Styela clava: one gene and its partner. The protein of the gene in region 2 purifies or fractionates together with the protein of the main gene of each other region. This does not show direct contact. Links are inferred from orthologs where the notes say so. Each region holds a gene or a part of one and is shown on either strand. Other genes may lie near its edges.

Region 1 (11,098 bases), on a different chromosome or scaffold from region 2:
ATCCGACCATATGTCCAACTTCCCCGAATTTTTTTTTCGCTTAAAAACATTTCTGCTGTTGCCATGGTTGGAGACCGGCGGACGCCGCCGAGTGGCTAAAGAGTTCAGCCCCTTATGTTTGTGCTTGCAAAGTTTTAGGAATATTTGAAGAAAGGTTTTCGAAATATAGATAATTTTCAATAAGGGGGGCCATCATCCCCCGCCCTACTATATATATGCGTTTTAGCTTTGTAAGGTGGAGGACATTTTTTTTCATTTCAGAACCATCAGTAGTTGGAATATACGAACAGAATCCAGACTTTGCCTAGCCAGACTTTGATGCTTTTGCTGACCCATCTCGTGAGTTTCAAAATAATACTATTCAGCTTCATTAGGTGCGATGTTCCAACATAAAACCCTATTTTTCCTAAATCTAATTCATTTAGGAGAGTAAGAAACTTGTGCAAAATGTGTAAACTCAAATTATACTGCAAACTACATATCTAAGTAAATATTGCAATTCATTTTTGGAAGAAACACGAGTACAAAATATCACAAACTAATTTCAACAGATTTAGGACATAATCGGTACTCCAACACAAACATGTTATATTCAGAAAATTCCGAAACAGGCCACGTGCACCACTTCACGAATGTCCATAGTTCAAACGCCATTTATTAGTTTTTTTTTCCTGCAATCCATGAAGATTATTCGGCATTTATTTTGCTGTGTACCAAAGCGAACTGGGTTAAGAATATGAATCCTTATTTCGATAGTTTTTCTTACCAATTGCATTCTGTATCTTAAGTTCTAAAATTATTTTATATATATATTTGCAGCAACTGGAGTGATTTATGTGACTATGACGATGGGAAGTGGATAACTGATAAAAGATCGAGCCGACGTATTACTAAGCTCTAATGGTCTGTTGTATATTTTTGTGCTCGGAAAACAAGAAAATGTTAAGTCTGTTTTATTGTTAATATTGTCGTTTATAAATTCTGTTGCATTGTCATAAATAAAACAGATTTTTATGTCGCATAGTAAAATTGTGGATCCATGTCGAAGACATCGAAAGCAATCATTCAAAATATACAATAACTCATCTATTAATACTACCAAGTGTTTAAATGTGTTCGTTTATGTGAAACTGTAACCGTGATAATGAAAGTATTTCCGCAGAATCAGTTGAATCTTATTAGTTTTTTTTCTTAAAAAATAATCATTATAAATTACCTTTTAATCAAATTATCGCTGCCTTTGACGCATCTGTTTATTATTGAAAAAAGATGGACATAAACTTTGTCAAGAATTAAAAGAAGTTTGAAATGATTCGTGTAAGTGGAATTGACAATAAACGTGACAGTTGCTACTTGGTTGATGCATAATTGAATATTTTTCAAATTTCTGCAGTCTGCACCCAAATTTTTTATTGCTATTATTTATATACGTTTAGTTGATTCGTATGAGTATATCTTCTCGTTTCCCGTTAAGTTCGACATGGATATGATTCCCCCAATACACGTCAATTGTCTCGTGTGATAACCCTGGCATTATATACAAAGATCATCTACTAATATGTTAACTACTGAATTACAGTACACTTAGAAAGCTTTCCTCAAATTGATAATTTTTTTTCTGAGATAAGCAATAGGTACTGCTTCTTTATATATTTAATCTATTTAAAGAATTTTTTGTTCTATATACAAAAAGAAACTTCGAAACTAAAAAACATACAATTTACTTTGACTCAGAGAAACAAGGTTTTTTAAAGCAACATTAAAATTTTGCAGAAAAACATAGGTCATCGCAAAGCAATTTCCGATAGATTGCAATCTAGAAATTTCAATGATGTGTAACATCTCAAATATTGACAGTGATACTTCAAAGTATGAAATCAACTGATATTATATTTTGTGCAATTGAGTGTACTCTTGATAACCACACATTGTGTCACTAACGCACCATTCTTCATCGACAATAAATTACCTGGAACCTGAATAAATGAGATTTATGGTATATCCAATATGTCCAGAAACAAGGCTCTTCATAGTTTCACATATTCTTCCCAAATAGACGAATTTGAAACCGACCCCTGAATTACCATGCTGGGTGTTGGTCTTGCAATAGCGCTGAAAGGTCTCATACTGACGTTGACATGAGGTAGTGCGTCAGACAATGCCCTCACCGATGCGTCATCCATTATACCGAAGACATCTAGGTATTGCAGATTCGGCATGTTCACAAATCGTCTGCAAATAAGTAAATTGAAGCGTACAATATGTTTATCAAATGTATCGTATACAAACGATTGTACAGTCGGTGACAACAACTTCAGAATATTAGAAATAGCATTCACTTCAATGAAGAGCTACCAGTTTCTATTTATCGTTAAATATTTGGATCGAAACTGATAGAAGTGATTAAGGTGTCTTTGTTTTGAATGTGAGTGCGTAATGGTAGATCATCTTTTCAAGCTGTTACATAAAAGAATCACCCTTTTCTCAAATGTATAATGTCAATAATTACTCACAATAAACTATCTGGAGCTACAGAATAACATCGACTCATATTAACTCCTTTTAACGTGTCTGATAACCCGTGAATTAGCATATCCACCGCTGTAGAAGTCAGGTGATTTGAATCGCTGACATCAAGATCTTGGAGTCGTCTGCATCTTGCTACTATTTCAGCTACGTGGCCGTCCTGCATTGTATCTCGGAAACCTCCAAGATTCAGGTGAGTAATTGTTGGAGGAAGTCTTGACACAAGCTGAACATAGAATATAGTTAATAGTGATGTACAGATAATAAGGGTCGCAGAAGCCCAATATTCCACTCCAATTTATGGAAATCAACTGCCACCTTCAGTACATATGACAGAACACTTCATAAATTTGATATCAAGATAAGAAAATATTGATGTATGCTATCGAATGATAGGGATGATAATTACTAACATAACTTTTCAAAATAAATTAATGATATCATATGCTTGAATGAATAAAGTAGTTTACGTCTTTTCGCATATATTTGGTTAAATAATTCGTCTTCATTGAATTTACCTCTTCTGGTGGGTATCGACAAATCGATGACCAAGAGAGGTTGAGTTCAGTGAGCCGATTGCATGCCAACAGTATTTCGATCACACCTGAAATAGTGACTTCTTTACATAGTGTGAGATTTAGACGAGTCAGGAATAAACAGTTCGATATGCATCTGTGATATAAACGGAGAAAACAGTAAATTTTTTTATTTTTTGCCACCGGAGGTGATTAAAATAACATCATATTTACACTTTTTGATCATATATATATATATATATATATATATATATATATATATATATAAAATATTTTGTAGTAAAAATCATCGCGTTTGTCAATGTGCAGAATTATGGGTACTCCCGAAGTATGTGTACCAGGTTAGGGTTAGGCCATCGTATTTTAGTTCTATTACGAGTTTGGGAACTGTCTGTGTTAGCCAAGTGAATATCTCCTTGTTCATAGGTTTCAGTCCCTTTACACAAATTGATGTAAAATAGGCGAACAAAATTAGTTATCTCCATATTGGTACAAATACTTCTGGAGTGCGGAATTTTGAAATTAAAATAATAAATACATCATAATGTAATAAGTTAATAAAACCTTGGATATCAAATGAAATAAAAAAATATATTTAAGATATCATTGATTTCGTTTAAAAGCTAAATTGTTTAGGCAGTGTGTTCATATGAACAATACACAAATGCCTTCGTCATAATCATTTAGTTAACTTCAGCAAAATGTCAATACTAGACGATACAAACCCGAGAACGTGATGATTACTGATCAAATTTTCCAAACTCAAATTCACCAGACTTTTACAACGTGTCAAGATGAGACAAAGTGTGGTCGGACTGATGTTTGCGTTTGTAAAATCGAGATGTTGAACTTCGTAGTAATACACACGAGAAAATGGATCACGCATTGGACTGGACCTGTGTATTAGAGGTACTCCCTATGTATGTGAACCGAGATGGCGGATACCAGAACGTACCAGGTTAGGGTGAGGTCATAATTTTATTCCAATTTTTCTTATTAATTCTATTGCGAGTTCGGGGACTAGCCAATTGACTTCCGCAGTAATTGTACCTGAAATTATGGCCTAACCCTAACCTTGTACACATTCTATGTTCCGGTGTCCGCCATCTTGGTTCACATACTTCGGGGTTACCCTTTTAAGCAAGCAAACTGATCTGTACATTTCAGATTTATAAGATGCAAAATATATTTATTTATTTATTAATCATTTATTAGTTTTTATCAATCAATTACCCTTCATCACGAACTGGCGTGTATACAGGAGTAGTGTTATTTCCATGGTAATAGGAGTTGTTTATCAGCCATGAGTTATTGCGACGATCGTTGGAGATGGTGGCAGAGTTAAGTGATATTGCAACAGCCTGATTTCTCAGAAGATTTTGCAGATCCAATATGTTCATCGTGCGCTTTCTTAGGTTCAACTTTTTCCACAGGCATTTGTCATTCCTAAAATATTTATGTCGCAACAAAACAAGATAAACTTTATCCCGTGATAAAAAGTACTAAAATATCGCATGTTTTGATATAGGCGGTATACGGAAAGCATTCTCATGAGAAGAACTTGAGACTGACTTTTTTTATTTAGAAGTTCAACAGTTTTCATTTTTTACTTGATTTCCGCCCAGTGGGTGCTGTTAAGAACGACGAGGTGCCTTATTGAAAATACTATATATATAAAATTATTCAAATTGTATAAAGAAAATAGAAAATCATATTTCATAAAATTGGTACTTTGTGCACAAAATCAAAATGTGCATACATAATAAACCAATTTCAAGCACAGTTGGGATGTTCATTACTTAACTTTTTTTCGTAGATGGTAATTTAACCATATCTGGTATAATACATTAAGATAACTCACGCAATATTATTCCATAATCTACATACTTGTAAGCATCTACCCAGAGACGAAATATTCAGCATTCTAAATATGTAGAGTACGATTTCATACGGAAGGGAGAGGACTGCAAAAACAATATGATTGCCTGGAAGTAAGTATGATAATATACGAGAAATTGATCAAATTTGACTCACTTGAAATATCTCTACTAGACGATGATTTTGAATATGGGGATTTCCGAAGACCACAAGTGAATGGTTTTTCGTTAGAAAAATAAGCAGTGGGGTTTCTGTTGAATCTCCAATTTCGTCGGGGTTTTTCCGGAGTTCGACATTTCAATATGACATCGTGTGTAGGACGCTTAGTTTTCGGCGTTCGTAACAGAAATTCTTCACTTCGTTCATTTGTGTCATCCAGCTCTTCATCATATGATATTTCACCAATGATTCCCAAATCATCATATAACAATTCTTTTTCCTTATCGGCCTCTAGGATGCACAAATTATTCGTGGAGTCGCTTATTTCGTCTACTTCCATTAGCCAGATATTAGATATGTTAGATTATGTTATGTTTTTAAAAAGTTCTAACCGAGGATCGTTGATAATGACATATTTTTACGTATGGACCAAACGGTTATTTGACACTGTGGAAACGTAAGCTGCTGTTACTCCCAGCACCCAGATACCCTTCAATTCTCCTAGTTCACAAATACAAACGCATTGTCCATATAAAAAATAAGAGTAAACTAGTTGTAGTAAATACTATAGGTAGGTTTTGAATCCTGGGTAGTCTACAACACCATGCTTTGACTCTTGCAACTCGAGAAATCAAAGAACAACGCAATCGATTGTCTGTGCACCAAAAGCGCGTGTGTAGCTACCACCACATCTAGTCTATATGAATGATAACTTCTTGCCAGCAAACTGGACTGTCTCCCCGAAAATAAGTTACCGGTATTATTTTTAAACCAATCAAAAAAGAAACACATCCTAACAATCAAGTTATCACTGTTGATATTTCATCTTTCTCATTTTCCTGGTTAGGATGAAAGCATATTGTAGGCTAGTTTAAGCTAGACTAACTAAAGCTAGAGTAGACTGAAATAGAAGCCTTGTCGCTCAGATCAGAGTCGTCAGTGATGTAACAATGGGTTATCAAATGTAGAACCGTTACCAGGTTATTAAACTGCTTGTCTGAGGAAGTCTGACTTTGGTCAAACCGTAAATATTTACCGGTAGTCAAACGTATATATTTACGGTCAAACGAAACGTGATATAAATATGTTCATTTGTATAAAAGTGCAGCAGGACTTTTGAATTGCATATTATATTTCTATTTATTCTTACTAGTACATCGTTGCATTATACACACATGGATCAATTACTATAAATATAAAGGAACAGAGATAGTCTCGCAACCAAACTCATAATTACGCCAGTTTACTAGTCGTGAAAATTATTTAGATTTGTTTGATTCTATAAAAACTTATAATATTGTTGGAATTAACCGTTTTCATAAAATACATTTAAGTTTGCAAGACTCAAATATTTGGATGTTAATCCAGCAGAAATAAACCGCAACTTAGTATCGGTTGGCGTGTATAAATCTCAACGACGTTTACCCAACGACTAAGTGTTTAGTCGACCACCGACTTATTGAACACGGCCTTGACCTATGGCTGTTTTCTTATTATGTTGGAGTTGTTGGTATTCTCTTTTTTTGTTGTTGTTATTTGTTGATGTGAAAAAATAGCGATTCTCTTTAAATACTGGACTAATTTTTTTAAATGGTTCAAGCTTGTTGTTGACGCTAGAAGTAGTATATATAACTACTTACTATATATAGTAATACTAATGGTAATATATACAATATATAGTAATATTACTATTTAAGTTTCTGTGGGTTTTATGGATTCGTTTTTCACTTTGAACTTTTTTCCATATTGTTGTCTCCTTATTGCTTGTCGACTGCGACCTTCATGTGCATATATTTTAGCATTGCTCTTTTGTTCCATCACAATGATAAATCAACGAAATAGGTATTTTTCTGTTAGACACTTTCGTATGTTTCGCGATATCTCACGAAAGCGAGGTTGAATCTGCTCCAAATTTTACATGTGCATTCATCATATCTCGGACCAGAAGCCTATTGAATTATGTCGTATAATTAGCGAGTTATTAATTAATTAGTGATGGAACACGCGGTGTCGCTATTGAATCAGAGCCAAGGATACACGCCGCTTGATCGATAAGTCGGCGGTCTCTGATCGCTATCTCGTTTTGAATTATTGTGGGGATCTTGAATCAGGGTAGATCCATATGCTCGTAGCGGCGCCCCCAGTGGTCGTTGTAGGATGCGAATTTGTTGCTTAGTTAGAGGATTAAATTATTAATAATAATACAAACCTTTCACTCTTACTTGACCTTTAATTTATTTATTCTCATGTATAACAATATCTATAATTTGATTTCCCCGGAATTATTTTTGAAGTTAGGTATAAGGGGGACGTCATCGTCAATTGTGACGTAATGCTCCACTTTGGAAATGTCAACTTTTTATATTTAGTAAATTGGGCTTTTAGCTATCTGACCCACCAAAATTCAGGTTCCCCTCAAGAAACAAGAACTCGATTTTTAAGCGCTTTTCAGATTTTGTCCATGGCCTAGGAACATTAATAGAAACATGTCCCGGGCAACAGAATAGTTTGGCACGCCTCTGCTCCTAACACTAACCTGATAGTAGCTTTTAGCGATCAAGATACTCTGTAATTCACATCAGTATATTTCTATTATTGGGCCGCAGTGGACATATCGTGTTAGTGTTGATATTAAATGAAGATTGATTATATTCGCAGGTACTAGACTAATCTGTTCATCTACGAGTCCAGCTTTGCTGCAATTCTTCGGTTATTAGAAGACCAATCTCGTAGTTGTATGCAGAATTTTGCATCGATCTTCCACGGCAGAAATGTGTGAGTTTATCGGCGTATGGAAGCTGACGTATTTTAAGTGAGAGCAAAAAAAAAAATTGAGGGTCAATATTTTACGTTGGCATGTTCGGCAGTAGTATTTGACATGTTTTTATATGTATGTTAAACATGGGTTTTCGTGTTGACCTCAATAAGCAATCTTATTCCTAGATTTATTTGCAAGGAAAGAACATGGCGATGTACCGTTGGTTTGCAAGAAATTCGCCCCGTAAGTGAAATGGTTATAGTTGACGATTGGCAAACATTGGGTATTTGAATATGCTAACTCTCTGAACACATGGGCCAGCAAACTTCATATTAGATTTTATGTACGATACGTTTGATATAAGGTTGCATGGTTAAGCTGTCAGGGTACAGAATTCAACTCAACTGAAAGAGTATGTTTAAAAAGAGTATTATAACATTTATTGTGGACAAAACTTAGCTCAAACATGTAATCCAGAACATGCGAAAATCAGGTCAAAGATTTGCAAATTCGATTAAACACCCTATCCCTATAATTGTATCCCTATTGCAAACATATAAATAGTTACGAACTGTTGCAAATTTGTCATATGTCAGAGTTTTCATCCGTCAACGTCCCATCAACGTTTGGTTTAATTAAAATTTTTGTTAGGCAATCCTTTTAAAATGAATGGTACTAATCTAAGTACATAGTTATATTTATTTATTTTATTTTTTCACTCAAGTCTCTTAAATTTTCTAATAGTAGAGCCAGAGCAGAATTTTGAGTTGAAAAAAACAAACAAACTAATTTTAAGAAGAGTCATAGGCGATATCGTCATGGGTTTGGGTTGATAAGAGATCAGGGCTCTTATTTTATCCAGACGCTGGAAAATATTTTGATCAAGAATGCGAATGTAGTACTGGGCATTATGGTGTATTATCAATTTTATTTTTATTAGAATCTCCGAAGCACCAAACAAGTGTAATTAATATTCTATCAGAGATTTTATATAAATGTTACAAATTTTTAGTTGTACTTCTAAAGATATTTTAGTGTTACAATAATTATATAAAAAATAGTTAGTTTCGAAACAATACCTGAAATAATGAATACCAAAGCCATAATAAGCATTTTACTTGTGATATACTCCGTCGAAGCTCCACCTCCGAGAAGACAAGGTAAATATATACAATCAATTAACGATATACAGGTAAAAGTATTGATTTTTTGGCAACATCCGTCAGTTATTATGCACTTGGGCGATTTCTGTTAAATATAACCGCTCTGCTAATCTGTGTGTTATTCTGTTAAATATATATGATTGCGTATGATATGTGCCAATATTTCACCTTAATTTAGATCTATGTTCTGGCTATTTTTGATTTTTGCTTTTTCATTCAGGGTGTCTTAAACCACTTCGTGGCATCAACTTGCGTGTTCGGGCAGATAATATGATTGACTTGACATACGATTATGACGAAAGAGCAATGCATTGGCCGGGAAACCCAGCTGGTTTTCAATTAAACGAGGTTATTAAAGGTATATGAACAACAATCAAAATTTTATATGTCCACAGCAAACCCTTTCATCGCATAAATTGCGTATTAAGTCCAAGAGAATGACACAAAGAAATTGTTTAATACAAAAATGATCTGGCGACAGCTCTAACTTGGATATTTGTAAATCATATATATGTTTAGTCGCATTTTTAGGTGCCTAACTTTGTGAATATTTTCAGGATTTATAGGCAGTTTTTATGTTACGTATAATATGATGACACAACCTGAACACATTGGAACACATGTAGATGCACCATCTCATTTTGCAGAAAAGGGTCTTACGGTGAGTTTTCAAATATAAAAATCATATAATAAAATATATTCATCATATGAAAACATCAATATCATATATATATATTTAAATCAGAAGCATAGACGACGTCTGAGGTGTTGTTCAGTAAAAATAAGGAAAAGATGTGAGTAGAAATGAACTCCAAATAACGATTGTAGGTTTAGAACGTCAAAATAAGAAGTTGTATTAAGGGGCCACGACGTGCAATTTACAAACAAATAAATAGTGAGCACCTGTTGTCATTTTTATTTAGATGGAACAAGTCGACTTGTTTAATCTTATCGGAAATGGAGTTCTGCTGAATATGAAAAACAAAGAAGGATTTGACAGCGACTCATTCATCACAGTGGATGATTTTCTTGAATGGGAACGAGAGAATAAGGGTAAATTAAACAGCGAAAATTGATGAAGCGCTATATACATTATATAACAATTTTTCATTTCAGGAAATTTCAAATTTTTATTCAGAATAAACACATAAATTAAAACTAAAAAAGTAAATTTGTCACGAAATTACTCAAATATAAAAAAAATATGTAATCTAAATTAATATTGCAGGTAGAATACGTTCGGGAAGTATAGTATTGTTGTACACCGGCCATGGTGACGTATACTACGATAGATCCAAGTACGTGGGAACGAACATTACTGGAGAAGAAGGCATTTCCCATTTCCGATACCCGGGTCTCCATCCAAGTGCTGCTGAATGGCTGGTAACCAAAAGATGCATTGCTGCTGTTGGGATCGATACCGCCAGTTTAGACCAGGCAAAGTCGACAACCTTTGGGTATTTACATAGGCCGCGTATGAATAATTTTTTAGAGTAAATTAAAACAATAATACCTATGATACAAAAATATCACAATTTCTTAAAATCAAAGTCATCATTTTTTATACAAAAAGTTTGGACCTAGACAATTCTTATTCGCACTGGCTTTAGCATAAAATTTACAAAAATGAAGAAGAATATAATTTACACTTTCTTCAAAAAGAAACAATAAAACTAAATCTAACTCGCCAACGGGCCTTTGAACTTCAATTGCATTTGTGAGCTTGCTATATATATATTTTTTACAGAGCACATACAACATTGAGCGCACACAATGTACCCATATTTGAGAATATTGCAAATCTTGATAAGCTTGCAACGTCAAGAAGAAAATTCAACATTATTGCACTGCCACAGAAGATAGCTGGTGGGAGTGGAGCTCCAGTACGAGTAGTTGCCGTGATGAACTAATCTAGTCCAGATCATATTGAGTTTCATTAAAACCGATAATTTTATGTTTTATGTTTCAAGTGTTAATTATATATAAATTTACATCAAATGAAATATATATAGTCCACACAGAAACATTTTCTAATTTTTATTTCGTATAATGATTTATTGAATTATCGGACTCCTCTA
Region 2 (10,219 bases):
TTTCCTGATGGGGCCGCGGCCCATCAAGCTATGGGCCACGGCCCATGTGGCCCCGGCCCATGGGCCGTAGAGGAGTCACCACTCCTGTAGTGCATTCGGCACAGCATGATTGGGAACATGACGCAATGGTTGTGTCCCTTTACATACTGGTACCGGTACTCAAGACAGATTTTCAGACATGGTTGTAACTTGTAAATATTGGAGTCGCTATCTGTTTGTATGTTTTAGATGTGTTTCCGAAATTTTGGTACCGGTACCTTATAAATCAAAATACCATTGGTCGTTTTGTCTTCTGGAGCGTTCCAGTTTAGTAGTAGTGATGAAAAATAGTTATGAAACAAGTAAACTCGTTTGGAAAGTGCCAGGCGTATGTTAGTCGTTGGTGCCAGCAATGACAATAAATGTCATTGAAGCCAGGTCACGAAAACTGTCAAAGGGGTCAAGGGCCGGATTATTATTCTTGAAAATATCAAGTGTATCAGAACTCCATGACAACGCGACACGCTTCGTTCGGCTGAGAGTTTTATTTTGTGTTCTGCCGCTCGTACAAGGCTACCGGTATGTAGTAAGCGAACTAGTAACTATTTTAAGCTATGACTTGTTTCTATATGTATAAGAAATAATAATAACAACTGGAATGGAATTTTATATGTGTACGGTATTAATGCGTGACAGAGAGAAATGAACAGCTGTATTAAGGTATATTAGGAGGAGGAGGAGGATTTACATATTTATCCCGGAGGAGAGGAAAGCCGACAAAAAGAACTGACTGCTGCCAATACAAAAAAAAATGGAAAGCCTATGTTGACTCATCATGAAACCATATTTGGATTGAAAATGACTGAAATATTGCAAATGAATAATATTTTTGTAATGTGAAATACTTTGGTTACAATTAATCTCATATTGTTAGATAGTTAAGATAGATAGATAAGTTGTTAACGCTTTATAGGTACACAAAAGTGTGATTAGACCATCAAATATTTTTAGCAATAACTAATCTCACAGCCTGATTTTTTGTCATGATTTTACCATATATCATATACATCAGGGGTCGAGAACCTTTTTGGTCAAGAGAGCCATAAAAGGTACATATTTTCAATTGCATTTCCGTGCGAGCCATACAGCATTTCAGGCCTGAAATTTTACTCAAAAGTCAACAAATACAATGTCAATATACATTTAATGTGACTTCTGATGCTTCAACGGCTGCTCACATGCAGCCAAGTTGAAATCTACGATACACATCACCATCACCCTTCTTTCGTTTAGGCATCTCTGTACTAGTTTGATTTAAATATGACAAATACTGTAATTAGTACGTACAAACGGACGAAAAGCTTTTCTCTATAGCTCCGAAACTATAACACTTTGTGGCGTCACAAAATAGATTCCAGAATCCCCTAGTTTTGTCACAATGCTTGTCTGGTAATTCTCTCAAATAACATAGACATGCGCTGGGCGCACGTTTTCAAACGTCTTGGCAAATTTGGCTATAAATAGGTTTGAAAACTCGTTAACAATTGTAAGCTTAGCCTTACAATATTAGATTTTTCTGGGAGCCATATTTATGCCGCCATCAAAAGAGCCATATATGGCTCGCGAGCCATGGGTTCCCGACCCCTGATATACATTATGCTTTATTTTACTTCTTATTTATTCAAGCACTATCAAATTCTATTATAGTAAATAAATAAAATGCCACCAAAAAAGAAAAAGGGCAAGGGAAAGAAAGGAAAGAAGGGCAAAAAGAAGGATGTAGCAAAAGAAGAAGACAAATTTAAAAAGACTGTTAGAGAAATTGAAATTCTGAAAGAACATCTCGCTCATCGAAATGAAATTGCTCGGAGATCACAAGCCCAAGCATCAGATTGGAAGAATCGTCTTCATGAAATGGAGGAAAATCTTGAGGAGCAGAAATTGGAACAAAAAGATGTCAGTGCAGAGTTGACTCGACAATATAAAACGATGCACACGGATATGGACATTAGAATGCGAGAACTAAACACAGAAGTAGAACATCTAAGACAACAAGTAGCGAATGCAAGACAAGAGCTTGAAACAACGAAACGAGAAAAAGAAGAAATGGAACAGGAAAAAAACGAAACAATCAGAATATTGGAAAAAAGAATCGATGAAATGGAAATATCATACGAAGGAGTCCTTACGGCTTCGCTTGATTCACTTATTGGAAAAATTGATGAAGCTAAGGATAAATGGGATCAAGAAGGAATTAAAATACAGGAACAAACTAAAATTACTCTTCTAGAGTTCGGTCTGAACCCTCTGGATATTTGATAATAAATTCAGATAATTTGTTCTGTTGAAAGAATTGCTTACAAGGTCATACGGGAGAACATTTTAAATCCGCTTGCCTTCAATGATAGACAATAAAACTTATATGAATTCTAAAATCTGATCATTGGATTAGACTACCTGCTCATATTTGTTGATGATTATATTCAATAGCTTACTGGAGAACTAGGTATATTTTAATGTAATCCTGTAGTTTTCATAAATCATTTTCATCACTGTGTTGTGAATTGTGCGACTTTCATTTGTGTCTCACTATTTTTACCTTGTTATCATTAATTTCATAGTACCATATTGATAGGTTTAAAGGTTTTAGGGATACTACTGTATAGTTGTTGTGACTAAAAAATGCCTGTAAGATGGAGTGATGAAGATCCTGCTGAATTTGATGAGGAAGCATTCAAAATAGTCGACGACGTAATAGCAAAAGCTGTTCATGATGTTTCAGTTGAAATTAGACATAATTTGGTATGTATATTTTATATGATATGTCAAATCTGGCTTGGATAGGCCTTGAAGCTTCATATACCAACGGCGTTCCGGTTGTTGGACAGTTCATTGCGTTCCTGTTGTTAAAATAAAATTATGGTTCGAAAAGTCTGGTTTCCTCGGGAAACTTAGTTATTAATTGATGTTTTGTTGCATCATAATTATTTTTACATTTCAGCTGGCAAATAATTAGTGCACAGCAGTAATGTATAATGAATGTTTTGCCGACCTTTGACCCTTGTGAACATTTGTATTGAATTAGTATGAATATTCTTTCAATTTTAAAAAGTCATATTTCAGATAATTTCATTGTAGTTCTTCGGCTCTATCTTACGATAGACAAAATTACTGGTAGCGCCGTGTTGTAAATATATATTACATTTTCACGAATTTGGTGCGTTCCGGTTGTTACGATTTTTCTAGCTCATCACTGACCGTATATATATATATATATTTTCAGGCCAACCTTCCAATAATATTTGAAGATAAAGAAGACTTTGGAATTCCAAACATAGAATGGTCGTCTTGTGAAAACTTCACTCCAGAAAATGGAGTGGGTCAGATAGAGAAGTTCATCGCTGTATGTCTTGAATTTTGCTCTTTGTGCTAAATTTTATATATGTGTAATGTGTATGCAAATGTGTATTATATAGAGAACTTCACTAAACTATGCTCTCAAATGTTGAAGCCAATTATGTAGGTCCTCCTGAAGTATGCACACCAAGATGGCGCACAACGTGAACTCAGGTTGTGTACCAGGTTAGATTCAGGTTGTGAGACATCTTGGTGTGCATACTTTAGGAGTACCTATATGTACAATCTTTGACTGGTGATAAGTTAAGGCTGGATCTGTAATAGCTAACAAGTTACGGTAATTGTTTAATTTTATAGACTATAAATAGTTTTCAGGTTCTACAAGAGCAAGGAGTTCGGATATCCTCTTGCAGCATATTAACTTGTTATTCTAGTTCTTCGCCGATTACCTATATGAAACATTTTTCATAATACAATATATTCATATTAGATATATTTTACTATAACAGACTTGGAAGCGAGATTCAGCATGGTTATACTGTATCGATTATATGGGTGACACAGAATTTGATTATGATATTCGACATAAATATAGAGTAAGATGGAGCATACCAACTAGAAGAAAACCAATACCTAGAGCAACTGCCTGTGTCTACTTTACAATCAGTCTTTCGAAGATTAAACCTAAGGTAAACGCTTCAAAATTTTGTCAACAATTCTAAAGTCTAGTAGAATAAACTAAAGTGAGGCATTTGAAGGGTACTACTATATGTGCAAGTGCAAATGTTTTGTACTATCTCCATAAGCTAGCATAGACTTGGTCAGAACTATGACATTCATTTTGTCAAATGGTTTTAAAATAGTTAGTGAAATCTCAGTGCTAAGGTCCTCAGTTTGATTGCCTTCGAATGTTCCATTTTGAACTCTGATGATAAAAAGAACGATATAAAAAAACATTCAGGCGCAATCATATGGTATGAGAACACATTATTAAAACGAGAAAGCAAAAAGTAATACGAATGAATGGACATGGACCATGATAATTGTGTGCAATTTTCCAAGTAATTCTTCACTGTCAGATAATTTTCTTCAAGTAATCAAAATTGAAAATTGATTAATCTAGTATAGTTATATATTAAAGAGAAACACCGCATTGGCGAAACCGATGCTAAAAGAATACTTTATGAAAAAATTTTCATGATGTCATAAAGAATTAAGTATCTTGAAATATTGATTTCCCCTGAGCATTTGTATGTATATAGTGTCATTGTCAGCGACCAATAATAAACTTCATTTTTACAGACTTTGCCTGTTGAAGTATTTTACATATTCGAAGGAAACAGATTAGTCCATAAGTAAGTGATTTTGTAATGACTGTTGTTGTATTTATTTTTACACAAAATCTCTATCCTTACATCATATATATTTTCAGGCCAGGAAAATCAAGATTTCGTGAAATCTGGTTGAAAAATCTTGTTGAAAGCAAAATATTAATGATGGAAACTGTTACATTTTAGCTATTATCAACTACCATAACTATTTTTGTATATCAATAATATTTTATATTTTTCTAAACAACAAAGTGTACAAAAATCGGATGTCACTTCCAATAAAAAAAACACTTTACTTGGAGGCTACCTATCATTAATTGCCATGCCGCTGATGCACCTATATTATAGTTAGTCTCAATATGCAGTGGAAATATTTAGCCTAGGAATAAAGGAATATCGACAAATCTAAATTAGGGGTTTGGACTACTGCTGGGAATAATCCGCTTCTAACAATCTACTCGTACTCTTTTTCTGTGCTCAATCCATATATTACAATTATCCCCTTTTTCAGTAATCACCAATATTCCCAAAATTGTGCTGTTACTGTATTGAAAACTAAAATGGCAGTAGTTTTGTTTATCTGAATATCCAATGCTTTTTTTAATAAATAGAACATTACATATATTTTATATATTTATTTTAAATTCTCTCAGGCTATGATTATTTAACAACAATAATACTATGAACAATCAGACCATTGTAATAAATATATAGAATGGTCTGGTAACGCCGCTGCAAATACTAAACCGGAATGGTTCGCATCACTAAAACCATTCAACCACGATTGATCTCCACAAACATAATTTGAACCTCGTTTTGACCAACGACACATAGGTAAATTCCACCGCCCCAAAACGCCTGGAAGACTTTCCGTTCCAACATTCTGTTGGAGTTGAAAAGTGCCTCCATCGTCGGGAGTTATGTTATTAGATATTACAGTAGGAATATGACTGTCAGTCTTTGATTTTGGTAATTTAATACTGTTATAATTGATATCGTTAATTAATTCATCTTCAACTGTGCTACTACTATTAGGTATACCATGATGTCTTGCAGAATCGTCTGTATTTGGGGTTTCAGTAACTTCCAGGCTTAGTTTCGTCGAAAATTTTGGAAGTTTTAATGATTGTTCAGGTAATGAACTGCTGCAACAAGCCTTACAGGGCTCTGATTCGACTTCATAGTCGACCGTTTCCGGACTAGGACTTGGGTGACTAACTGAGGGATTATTTTCTAACACTAGTTTTTTACGGTTTAACAAATTAGGATGTTGCGATTCTGTGGTGCTATCAAGCACTCTAATAAACAAACAGTTTTCTCGAGTGTCTGCAGCAAAAAACATAGTTTTACCCGCTCCAAGTAGAAAAGATGGGTCGTTTTGATGAGGAGTTACTCGAGTTAGAGTATAGTCTTTAAAATCCCATTCCAATACTCCTCGCTCGGATGAGCACATAATCCGTGTGCCATCAAAAAGAAGTTGCGGATGAAGGAAGCAATGTTCATTGTTATCATCAGTATTAAGAGGAGTAGTAGGATAAGATGGCATTGAATTTGATAAAAGTTTATCACTACAATCAGTAGCTGATAATTCACATAAACTTTGACAGTTGACCTCCTCACTTATCAGCCATATTCTTATCTCAACCTTGTCCATAGATAAGATAACATAATCACCAGGCTTATGGTGAAGGGAATCAACTTCACTCTTTCTTAAAATGACTTTTGTTACCCATTCTCTATGTCCATGATACATGTTTATTTGTTCACCTGTTGAAAGTTGCCATAAACGAACTGTTTTATCTGCCGATCCAGATACAAGCAACTCTCTTTCATTGTCATAAGAGACGCTAAAAACAGCCCCAGTATGTCCTCTATAATTCCGAATCATGTCTCCCGAACTCCACTCCCAACATCCAATCGTGTTATCGAAAGAAGCAGTGTACACAAAATATTCATCAAATGCAAGATCTGCACATGTATGAGTCTGTATAATCTGTAAACATTCTCCGGTTACCACATCCCAAAGTCTCACGCTTCGGTCATCTGAACCAGACGCCATCAAATTATTTCCGTTGTATCGAAGAGTATATACACGAGCCGTATGTCCAAGTAAAGTTAATACCTTAAAAGCAGAACCACTTTTTAATTGCTGTAGTCTTATCAGAGCTCGCTGGTAAGTTTTTTTCCAATAACCTCCAGACATTATGGAATCATCCACTTTCCACCCGATAGTCTTGCATGCTTTTAACCATGCTGGCTGACACGCAGAAACAGCTTCATTCCAAGTTTTACTGACTAGGCAGCATCGTCCTAATGAAATGGGATCTAGCCAGCTCAGAAGATAAATACATATTTCTGTTGGAAGAAATCGAACAAAGTCCCGCTTCAAAAATATTTCCAGACGATCTGAAAGATATTTCAGTTCGGGTGCTTCACATGCATCTATAATCCCATCCAATGCTGTAATTTTATCTTCAGTTGACAATTCTTGAAAGTCTGCTACAACTTTGGACAACCAGTGATTCATCTTAGAAAATTTTATTTTTTCTGCCATATTTGCTAAAAAATAGTATCAGAAGTAAGATTAAATAAATAGCATATTGCCCAGGCTTTGATGACAACACAGGTCTAAAATATTAAAAATGGTTCTGGCATGGGCCAGACATATGTCGTAGCCTCACACAGTGTGTAACGAATGGGTTATATTGTTGCAAGGAATATTATTGCATAATCAAGTAATTTAAAGCATGTTGTTTGTTGTTAAGTATATGAGCCTAGACAATTGGAATTCAATGGCATTATCTGGAAGAAAATTTTTTGGTGCCAATAAGCATTACTCATTTTAGAATGAATAGAAGAATGTGATATTGCCATTGCAGCACGAAACCCCAAGAACGAATTAATTAGTCTTTCAATAAAATTATATACTGATTATAAAAAAAACATATATTTAATAAATATATCTATCAATAGAATAGATATAAAACTTGAAAAAAACAGTTATATGCATATTACGGTAAGTGGGATATGTACGAAATAATTCCTAAAATGTTCAAAGGACCAAAAAAATACTTGCTGTGGAAAGAATCATATCAATATAATCATATAATATCAATATATTAAAAACTTTGACTCCAAGCCCCTGAGGTCCATAAATGTCTAACTTATTTGAGGTTTGAGCAGGGATGGCCATTTCCGAATACATTCTAAAATCGAAAATAACATATTTTTTTTAGTTTTAGTCCATTAAAACCCAGTAAAATAGGAAATAAGCTTCAATAGAAATATCAGAATAAAGCCACAAACCAACAGTATATGTACACAAATTAATTGATAGTTTATAGCTATCAATGAAAATAATAGCAACTTGTGACACAGTCAGTTGTACACTTAGTACAAATGACCATAAGAAAAGATAGCCAAGGAGTTGTCTGACGCTTTCTATCAATGGTACCATGATTTTACGATAATAGTCAAGTCTATTGACAAAAACACTACTTGTATTCAGATAAGTGTGTATATTTTCTGAGAGTAATAAAATTCATTGGCAATACAGGCAACTGAAGCAAGGAACAACATTCGAATATCCATTATGTCTAGAGCAGGGCTTCCCAAACTAGGGGCCGCGGCCCTGGAAGGGGTCGCGAAGAGAACACCAATTTTACACAAAGTACTATATCTATTGCACTTTTTCAGACTCCTAATTTGAAATACAATCATTAAAAATAGTGTAAAACGATAAATTCACGATTCCGAGTGAATATACATCATCACACCGTGTTTTCCCGATAATAATTGTCATCAATTTTCTTTTGAACACTGGAGCTCATTTTAGGGGGATGTTGAGAATAACGAGATTAATATACGAAATATGAATACCGGAATATGATACAAATTTAATAGCACGTTTCCATTAAAAATAGCGGCTACATATAGGTTATCAACAATTTAAAAAGTAGATTTCTTTCAACTATAGGACTCAGTAGTTTTCGAACTTAATTGTATTGTGACGACCTCCAGAAATATGCTCAAGTTGCGACTTCCCGTGAAAAATACCGTACGTATTGATACATTTCAATATAATATCTTTTAATATAATATAATACCTTTTTTGCATTGAGTTTAATATAAACGAACAAACAAAATCTAACAACAGTCAGTGAAATCGAATTCAATGGGCCATGGTAGAAAAGCCTGCTTAATATAAATACGAAATCGCAAAGGAGATGTGGTGCGCAACGCTTTTTGAACCAAGTAGAAATAATCTTTATCTACAGAAAACCGAACTTTCAGAACATGAGAATCTCATCGAACATGAGTGAGTTTTGAGCATTTTGAAGAAAAACTAGGCAGAGTTGAGCAAGAAAGATTTGCACCATTACATTGAATAATTTGAGTAAAGATGTTTTTGTTATTGAGTAGCCCTATTAAAAGTTAAGAATTGGCTGTGTCAATAAAATATTAAAAAGCATATTTTGAACTTTTTAGCATTATTAGCGTGAACAAGGGCCGCGAAAAACTTTAATATATCAAAAGGGGCCGCGAGCTCAAAAGTTTGGGAAGCCCTGGTCTAGAGTATTCTACTACCTACCAGTATATTTGTATATTAATTTATGTGAACTATATTGTTATTATGTGTATCATATTGTTATGTCTGAAATTAGCAATAAGTTTTCAAGGATTTCACGATTTTCGAAATCGGAAATTCCCATTGCCTCCTGTAACAGCCACCGCGATTCCGCGCTCGTTCCTTTCAGCGTATAATGATCATCTTGTCACGTAAAATATTCAATCCATGACAACTACGAGATTCTGAAATATCTTTATATATTAATTTTATGAGTCAAACGTAACTCGCAGTTGCTTCTTCATACGTCTAAATAAAAACATTACTATTCGGTCCACGGCGATCTTATGGCATAGTCAGGTGGGGGTCAGGAATAACATACAGACATATGCAAAATTCGTTATGCTATGCCAACTGGAAGTAATTACAGAATCATGGTAGCCTACAGCTGTACAGTGATACTAAACTACTGAACTATACTAGACTGGCTGGTCAACACGAGTAGAACTCTCCTTAGAAATGGATATGGCCTAAATTGATCAGCAATAAACAAATACAGAAATATAGTACCCCAAGCATATTACCGAACTGAAAAAACATTACCCCGACTTTTACAGTTTTACTGCTGCCGCCAGTCGGCGGGCGTGAAGGTACTTGCTTACCGTACTGCCGTATGGAAGAGATATATTTTCGAAATTCGCATCACTTACCTAGGAATAAACTACTATCAATAACGTATCAAAACCGGTACCTGTAATATATTTCATTTTGACGAGCTCCACAATGTGGATTATTAAATAGTCAAAGAATATCGTATACTGGTATACATACAACAGAGCTGTGAAACGATAATAGAGAACATAGGGTAACGATGTTTTATGTCCGATCTTATCTGAGAAGTTGTGAGACGCTAGATGGCGCTATTGAATTGAAAAATTACAGTCAACCGTTTCCCTCTGTTTTTCGAAACTTACCGTATGCTGTG

What was found. The genes of interacting proteins can lie anywhere in the genome.
Region 1: the proteins of F-box/WD repeat-containing protein 2-like (region 2) and S-phase kinase-associated protein 2-like purify together in Homo sapiens (affinity purification with western blotting; 4 studies listed by BioGRID). This does not show direct contact. The link is inferred for Styela clava from reciprocal best matches to the Homo sapiens genes FBXW2 and SKP2.

The regions. Positions count from the first base shown.
Region 1 is NC_135260.1:16,937,707-16,948,804, forward strand, and holds S-phase kinase-associated protein 2-like, read right to left. Parts: upstream 5,886-11,098; 5' UTR 5,440-5,885; coding exon 5,097-5,439; intron 5,027-5,096; coding exon 4,924-5,026; intron 4,509-4,923; coding exon 4,296-4,508; intron 3,959-4,295; coding exon 3,788-3,958; intron 3,199-3,787; coding exon 3,045-3,198; intron 2,753-3,044; coding exon 2,514-2,752; intron 2,233-2,513; coding exon 2,028-2,232; 3' UTR 1,642-2,027; downstream 1-1,641. Other genes in the region: kynurenine formamidase-like, read left to right, coding at 8,945-9,017, 9,241-9,378, 9,578-9,681, 9,944-10,073, 10,249-10,477, 10,768-10,930. UniProt on the Homo sapiens protein: Substrate recognition component of a SCF (SKP1-CUL1-F-box protein) E3 ubiquitin-protein ligase complex which mediates the ubiquitination and subsequent proteasomal degradation of target proteins involved in cell cycle progression, signal transduction and transcription.
Region 2 is NC_135258.1:9,388,576-9,398,794, reverse strand, and holds F-box/WD repeat-containing protein 2-like, read right to left. Parts: upstream 7,223-10,219; 5' UTR 7,222-7,222; coding exon 5,347-7,221; 3' UTR 5,288-5,346; downstream 1-5,287. Other genes in the region: dynein regulatory complex protein 12-like, read left to right, coding at 1,699-2,298; A-kinase anchor protein 14-like, read left to right, coding at 2,662-2,781, 3,263-3,382, 3,846-4,025, 4,639-4,691, 4,769-4,853. UniProt on the Homo sapiens protein: Substrate-recognition component of the SCF (SKP1-CUL1-F-box protein)-type E3 ubiquitin ligase complex.